Linked DNA regions of Ovis aries. The protein of the gene in region 2 interacts with the protein of the main gene of each other region in a pairwise test. Links are inferred from orthologs where the notes say so. Each region holds a gene or a part of one and is shown on either strand. Other genes may lie near its edges.

What was found. The genes of interacting proteins can lie anywhere in the genome.
Region 1: the proteins of LDLRAP1 (region 2) and PSD4 interact in binary tests that used the Homo sapiens proteins (3 or more experiments, as listed by UniProt). The two-hybrid records come from large-scale screens. The link is inferred for Ovis aries from reciprocal best matches to the Homo sapiens genes LDLRAP1 and PSD4.

The regions. Positions count from the first base shown.
Region 1 is NC_056056.1:59,772,278-59,775,920, forward strand, and holds part of PSD4 (PH and SEC7 domain-containing protein 4), read right to left. Parts: intron 1,950-3,643; coding exon 1,692-1,949; 3' UTR 1-1,691. UniProt on the Homo sapiens protein: Guanine nucleotide exchange factor for ARF6 and ARL14/ARF7. Through ARL14 activation, controls the movement of MHC class II-containing vesicles along the actin cytoskeleton in dendritic cells. Involved in membrane recycling.
Region 2 is NC_056055.1:241,243,345-241,247,678, reverse strand, and holds the start of LDLRAP1 (low density lipoprotein receptor adapter protein 1), read left to right. Parts: upstream 1-1,434; 5' UTR 1,435-1,486; coding exon 1,487-1,577; intron 1,578-4,334. UniProt on the Homo sapiens protein: Adapter protein (clathrin-associated sorting protein (CLASP)) required for efficient endocytosis of the LDL receptor (LDLR) in polarized cells such as hepatocytes and lymphocytes, but not in non-polarized cells (fibroblasts).

The sequences.
Region 1 (3,643 bases), on a different chromosome or scaffold from region 2:
GAAAACAGGATGGTCCTCTCTTGGAGGCTAGGGACATGCTTGATTCATGCCTCAATCTCACAGTACTGGCCCATAAAGGTACTTAATATTATTGGAGAAATGAAAGAATGAACCATGAGTGGGTGAATCAATGATTCTGAGGTCCCCTCCCACTGCAACAGCCGGTGTGAGTCCTGCACACGATTAGCGTGCTGCACACACATTCACAGACGTGCACATGCACACACACACATACACAGACACACACATGCACACACATGGCGAAGGGAACCCAGCCTGCCACCCTCAGGCAGGTGCTAGAAGGTGGCCTCAGCTGCCCAGAGCTGCCTGCTCCTCCCAACCCCCCTCACTGGTACACACCTCCTTCTTCACTGGCCTGTATTTATTTTGCACCCATTGGGTACGACAGATAGACACTTGTTGGTGACCCTCAAGTGCCAGCCCCACCTGGTGGAGTTGCAGGCCCCAGTGTTTGTTACAAGCATGAAGGAGAAGGCAGGGCGGCAGGAAGGCTGGAGAGGCCGTGCGTGCGTCAGCCAGCAGGCGGGTGGCGAGAGGCCCCTTTTGGCAGGCAGCCGGCTCTCACACTTGGCTGAACAGAGACAATGGTGGCTGCTTGGCAGCCCAGCCTCCTTCCCACAGGCAGAGCCTCGGGTCCTCGAGTGTCCGGAGAACAGCCCAGCTGGGACGCAGCCAAAGGGAGCACAAGGGGCCTTCCCAGGGGGGTGGCAAGGGCCCCTGGGAGCAAGCTGGGGGAGGGAAGGGGTCCCTGAGTGAGTCGTGGAGCTTCCAGGGGAGGAGTGTGTGGGGACAGAGCCAGGCCTTTACCGCCCCTCACAACTCTCCAGAGCCCCCAGGGGACACGGCATGCGTCACCACCTCTTACCCTTAGCCTCCCCAAACCTGGAACACCTCCTTTCCTGCTCTGGGGAGGCAAAGGCCCTTGTTACAGGGCTCTCCACTGAACTCTGGGCGCCCCCTCCCCTTCCGGCCCTCACTGACCACCGTGGGTTTCACTCTGATGATCAGCCGTTGGCCATGGGAGGCTGGGCCTCTCTCATCTGCCCCCTATGTGTGCAGGATGTAGGGAAGACCAGACAAAGGCAGGGGGCCCCAGAGCCAGCCTCACTGAGCCCTTGAACTTGCCGAGTCTCTGCTCCTGCCCAGAAGGCTGTTCCCTGCAGTGGGCAGGGCCCAGCTGGGGTCTCCCAGGACCTCTTCCAGCAAGTCACCTGATTTCTAGAGCAAGACCGCTCCCAGTGCTACAGCTTCCTAGCCTGTCTGTGCCGAGGTCTCTGCTGCCCTGGTCTCTGTCCCCGAGGATGGGGGAGCTCGCAGAGCCTCTGACACTCAGACAGAGGGCTGAGCAACTCCCCAGGTCCAGGAAAGGTGTCCTCTATGGCTTCTGGAGGGATGGAGGGTGGAATGGGATGAACTGTGGGAGCTGAGTCAAGTCTTTGACCTCTGTCCTCTCTTGGGAGGAGCCAGGGTGGGGGCAACAGTATCAGGAGAACTCCAGTGTGGAGAGTGAGGGAGGGAAGGGGGGACCGCACTAGGGTATCCTTCCATGGGGAAGAGGCGGGGCCCCATCCTCAGCACGGACCCGCTGACATAAGGCTCTTCCTAGAGTTTCATCCCAAATCCACCACAGGCCCAGGCCACTGAGGGTAGTTGGTGAGGTGATCCCAGCTTCACAGTTGATTGCGGTTCCGTTTGGGGATGATCTTCCGGTAGGTTCTGCGCTCTGAGATGTTGCGCTTGACCTTGGCCGTGGTGGGGGCCTCATCCTGGTGCAGCGATGGGCTGGAGTGGGACTTCTTCAGGCTGGGCTTGGGCTCCTGCAGGCCTCCAGCTTCCCTCCCCAGCTGCTCCTCCCACAGGTCCAGGTCTTCTGACGGGCAGTGCAGACGGGCCACAAGCAGCTGCAGGTAGGTCTCATAGCGGGTTTTCTGGAACACATATGGGTCCCACTGCCTCAGCAACACCCCAGTTCCAGGTCAGGAGGGGGCTGGGATGGTGAGGGACAGACAGATCACACTGATGCTACAAGGATAGAGACTTCAGAAAAAGGGCTGGGCCAACAGCTAGCATTCACTTGAACAATGATCTCTGCAGATTCTGTCCTTCCCCAGGTGTCTTAGAGTTACACCCATCAGCCTGGCCCTGTTCGATACAGCCAACACTGCCTGGTGCTGTAACTAACATCTCTGGAGCATGTTACGTCGCTAAGACACTAAAAGATCCATAAGCTACTAGGCTAGAGATCTGTGCAGCACTGCACTCGAACAGCACACATCTGTACGCAGCCCTCATTGAGTCTGAACAGCATTTTAACAACTGGCATCTGGAGAGCATGGCGCTAACTACCCTCATCTGCTTAACACTGCTCGGCCCCGTAACTAGCATCCTTCAGACACAGTTCCCAGTTTACTCAGTGCTTTCCCACCCACTGGGTCCTCATCCACGCCCTGCGAGGCTGGGTGGGAGTCATCGCTGTGCTTTATAAAGAGGGAGGGTCAGTGTTAGTCGCTCAGTCGTGTCTGACTCTGTGACCCCATGGACTGTAGCCCGCCAGGCTCCTCTGTCCGTAAGATTCTCCAGGCAAGAATACTGGAGTGGGCTGTCATTTCTTTCTCCAGGCGATCTTTCTGCCCCAGGGACTTAACCCAGGTTCTCCTGCATTGCTGGCAGGTTCTTTACCATCTGAGCTACCAGGTAAGCCCACCAGGGAGGGTCAAGGCCTTGCTAAAGGTCCCAGTGAAAGGTTGGTCAGCGGTGGGGAATGGCTGGAGTGCTGCAGGCAGGGCTGGATCCTATCAGCCACCCCTGGGACCCTGGGGAAGTGGCATGCTCATGGCCATGGATACAGCCAATGCCCCAAGAGGAAGAGCTAGAAAAGGAGGCAGAGGATAGTGCATGGCTGGTGGGCACAGACAGGAGGTGACAATGACGCTTGCTCCCCTCTCCCCTCTTTGCCCCTGGGTGGCCTCTGCCCTCCTCTCTTGTCACACTGCCCCTCACCCACCCTCCTGCTGAATTTGGGGGCAGGATTGGGGGTGGGGTGAGGAAAATATTTCAGCATCAATCAGAGAGCTAATAAAGATCATTCCTTAGTTACGGCCATAAATGAGGCATGGATGTGATCAGGCCTCATGAAAGTATATCAGGTGTGAACAAGTTTAATCTCTCTGTGCCTCAGTTTCCTCATCTGTAAAATGAGGATTAGTGTCCTTACCCCAGAGCAGCTGGATGACTAAATAAGACAATCCATGCAACAAGCTTCAGAAATACTGACTATTATAATAGTACTAGGTAGGTATGAGGGGAAATAATTCTGTTAAAATATAGTTTTTCCAAGACTTCCCTGGCGGTCCAGTGGTTAAGACTCAGCACTCCCAATGCGGGGGTCATGGGTTGGATCCCTGGTCAGGAACTAAGCTCCCATGTGCCAAAAGGTGTGGCCAAGAAAATTATACACACACACACACACACATATACACGTATATATAGTGTATATATATAATAATTGGGCTTCCCAGGTGGCTCAGATGGTAAAGAATCTTTCTGCAAAGCAAGGGACCTGGACTTGATCCCTGGGTTGGCAAGATCCCCTGGAGAGGGGAATGGCAACCCACTCCAGTAT
Region 2 (4,334 bases):
GGGATCAAACCCTGGTCTCCTGCATTGCAGGCAGATTCTTTACTGCCTGAGCCATCAGCGAAGCCCCAAGTCTAAAATCCAGACTCCCCTGGAAGTGCCTCCTCGAAAGGAGGGCAGGGTCTGGGTCACAGTTTGACAGATTGGAAGGGTCGCTAGACAGGATCTCATCTGACTTCCCAAGTAAAGACTAAGACCCAGACTGGGGAAGGAAATGCCTGAGGTCACACAGCAAGTCATTTTTAGAGCTGAGGCTCTTTTCCCCATACGTCACAGCATAACATCAAGACCACACCATATATGAGGCTACTTGGGGAGTAAGGTGGGCAGGGGGCAGCCCAGAGGGCCCAAGTGGAGCAAGGGAACAGGCTGAGTCTGTTGGGTGAGTCAAGTGTCCAACGAGTCTTGCTCAGGCCAACCTTATATTCCTGCCCTGGTCCCAGCAAAGTTCTACCACCAACAGCTCTCTTTCCAAGTTCCCCACCCCTTGCCCCCAGCTGCTGTGGTCATCACCTTTCTCTCAGACAAGCTTCCTGTCTCCTGCCCTCAGTCTCCCCATCTGTAAAATGGTCTCCAGGTACTTTTCAGTGGTCCTGAAATTCTAGGCCCGCGCCTCCCACGCCTTCTTACTTTGCCAACAAAGTTCCCTCTAGTCAAGGCTATGGTTTTTTCCAGTAGTCATGAATGGATGTGAGAGTTGGATATAAAGAAACCTGAGCGTGGAAGAACTGATACTTTTGAACTATGGTGTTGGAGAGGACTCTTGAGAGTCCCTTGGTCTGCAAGGAGATCCAACCAGTCCATCCTAAAGGAAATCAGTCCTGAATATCATTGGAAAGACTGATGCTGAAGCTGAAACTCCAATACTTTGGCCACCTGATGCCAAGAACTGACTCATTAAAAAAGACCCTGATGCTGGGAAAGATTGAAGGCAGGAGGAGAAGGGGACGACAGAGGATGAGATGGTTGGATGGCATCCAACCATCAATGGACATGAGTTTCAGTAGGCTCCGGGAGTTGGTGATGGACAGGGAGGCCTGGCGTGCTGCAGTCCATGGGGTCGCAAAGAGTCAGACACCACTGAGCGATTGAACTGACTGACTGACTGACTGACTGGCTCCCGCGGCGGAGCTGCGGCTCTCGGACTCTCAGCCCCCTACCAGGTGGGAAATAAGGGATTTGGGGAGAGAGACAGAGAGGAAGGGACAGGGCGTCCTCGGCTCGGCTCGCGGCCTCGGGGGCGCCCTTTGTCTAGACAGCCTTCGGGAGCTGGGCAGAGGCGGGGCGGGGCCAGAGGGGCGGCGGGGCGGGGCGGGCCCAGGGGCGGGGCCTGATCGGCCCTCGCCCCGCCCCATCGGACGTCGGCGCGGAGCTCGCGCGGGGAGGGGAGGAGCGCGGAGTCCGCGCGCCGCCTGGCCCCGGCGGAAAGTTTTCCCTGACGGAGTTTTTGGCTGCGGCGGAGGCGGCAGCGCGGCGGCCCGGGGAGGCCATGGACGCGCTCAAGTCCGCCGGGCGGGCGCTGATCCGGAGCCCCAGCCTAGCCAAGCAGAGCTGGGGGTGCGGCGGCGGCCGGCACCGGAGTGAGTGTGTGCGCGTCCGCCGGGGGCCCGGGCTGGGGCTCGCGGCGCACGGACCTCGCCTCCTGAGGGGCCCCGGAGTGGGGAGAGAGGCAGGGCCTGACCCCGCGCCCTGTGGCCCGGGAGCGACTTTCCCCGACCCTGCGTGGTTGAGGGTCTCCGAAGGTCACGTCCCCTCTCCAGCCCCCATTCTTTTCGGCGTGGAGGAGGGGCAGGAGCTGGGGGAAGAAACGGGAGCTCGGGGTCCCCAGGTGCGGGCTGCAGGTCGGAGGAGGCGCCTTGCGCGACCCGGGCACCTCCCCTCTTTGGACAGCCAGGGGAGGCGCGAGCTCGGCGTCTGTACCCGGGAGGTGTGGGGGGGAAGGGACGTGGGGCCGGGGGGGATTTGGGAAGACACCCCCACCCCGCGCCCCTGCATTCTGGCCCGCAGTCAGCGGCCGGCGGGCGCCCGCCTCGTCCGCTTCCCCCAGTCCAACCCACGAAGTCAGCTTTTAACTCCCTTGGGCGCCCGGAAACCGACTCAGGTGCGAGCCCGGGCTTCGCCGGTACCTGCTGGAAGTTGGGGGCGGGGCTCAACCTGGGGTCTCAGGAGGTGCCTCCCACCCGCCCCGTCTAGACCCCTCTTCTGGCGGGGTTCAGGTGGCCCGGCCGGCGTCCTGGCTATGTTGGAAACCTGTTTTTATTTCTCGCACTAAGCCGCTTGAGCTTCCGAAGTCCCTAGGCCCCCGGGCGAAAGGCAGACTCTGCCGCCGCCTCTCCCAAGGGGCGTCCGGGAGTCTGCGAGGAACCTCACTGGGCTCCCCCCTCCTCTCCCTGTCTCCAGTTACTCTCAGGGAACCAACCAGTCACCTGGCACCTTCCCCCGCGAGGCCTGAGAAACCCAGCCCAGGTCCCTCCTTTTTCAGGAGGAGTGGCTTGCCTGGGGTCACGCAGCGCTTTACTGGGAGAAACAGCCAAAGTCAGGACTGCTGCACTCTCCCGCCTCCCCTGCCGACAGCCTGGGACCCGGGCCTCTTCCGCACCAGGAAGCCCGCTCTCAGTACTCTCCACCCTCTTCGGTCTTGGCCTTCCAGGGCTCCACCAGGGGAGCCCGAGTTCCCTAGGCTCAGGAGAGGCCCCGGAGTGCCAGCGTGTCTGGGCCTAGGGAGTCTGCCCTGCCCCACCTCTTGCCCCATTCTGCGGTTCCAGCGGTGCCTGCCTCCTAAACCAAGAAAGACTAGCGTTGGGAACATGGGCTGGTGCCTGCTGGCGGGACTGGGGTCAGGCCATTAGGACTGGAGGAGGCCAGGGATGCACCCATCTCCCACATTTATGGACTCCCAAAATAGCTCCTTTAAATATTTGTGGGATTTGATCAGAACTTCAGAGGATGATGGCCCGTTCCAATGGGGAAACCCTGTCGTTTTCTCTAGGGATAAGGGAGGAGCAAGGACAGGGAAGGAAACTTAGGAACACCCCCTCTTTCTTCCCCCACTCAGTATGGGGAAAGGGGAGAAGTAGCCACCTTGGGTGGCAGAAAAGAGTTTCTCCTGCCTGTTCTGATCTTGGACAAGTCACTTGTCCTTTCTGATCCTCAGTTTTCTCATCTGCAAAATCAGGATAAAAACTCTAACCTGGCAGGGATGTGGTTTGTTAGTTTGCTTTTATTTTTTAATTATTTTTATTTATTTGGCTGCCTTGGGTCTGCTGCCAGGGGGCCTACTTTGTGGCATGTGAGATCTTTCCTTGCAGTGCAGCGGGCTTCTTTCTGGTTGTGGCTTGAGGGCTCCAGAGCGTGCCGGCTCAGTAGTTGTGGCACGTGGACTTAGTCTCCCCCACCTTCCCCCCGCATGCGGGAGTCTTTACCATCTGAGCCACAAAAATTTATTTTTGGCTGCGCTGGGTCTTCATTGCTGCGAGTGGGCTTTCTTTAGTTGCGGCAAGTAGGGGCTGCTCTTGCTCGTGGTGGCCAGGCTTCTCATGGCAGCGGCTGCTCTTGTTGCTGAGCACAGCCTTCCCTCGTTGCAGCTCTTGGCTCTGGAGCACGTGGCCTCAGTTTTGGTGCATGGGCTTAGTTGCCCTGCGGCATGTGGAATCTCCCTAGACCGGGGATCGAACCTGTGTCTCCTGCCTTGGCTGGCGGATTCCTATACACTGCACCACCAGGGAAGTCCAGAAGGTATAATAGATTCTTAACCACGGAACCACCAGGGAAGTCTCTCTGGCAGAGGTGTTGAGAAGGTTGTTGACAATAACATTTTCTTCTGGCACCTAACTGGTGGTTTCCTTCTGCCCCACTCCCCCTTCCCCTACTTGTCACGTGGGCCTTCACCGTGACTCTTAATGTAGTGGGACAAGTTTGTGGGGGGCTCAGAGCCTGTCTACAACTGCGTAGAAAAGGATAGGAGAGCCCTGTTCCTCTTAGGCAGACCCCAGTAAGCCAAGAGTACCGTCCTGGAGCCTTCTGGACCTAGAATGAGCTGGGGTGAATCCCCACCTGTCCCTGGTTAAGTCAGTTTTTTGATGTGTAAGTTGTCGATAATAGTAGTACCCAGTTCGGTGTTGTTGCTGTTGTTTGATGCAGGTTAACTGAAAGCATGTTTTCCTGGCAGAAAGAGTTCAATGAATGGCAACTACTGTTTTTGTCACTCTACCTTTTAGGTAGGGTTTTTCTTCCATTATCGTGTTTGCTCCTGTGAGGTGTCAGAGCAGGGATTCTTATCAGATTCATTTTTCAGATAAAGGAACCTGAGGCTCGGGTAGTGGAGTCAGTGGCTCCAA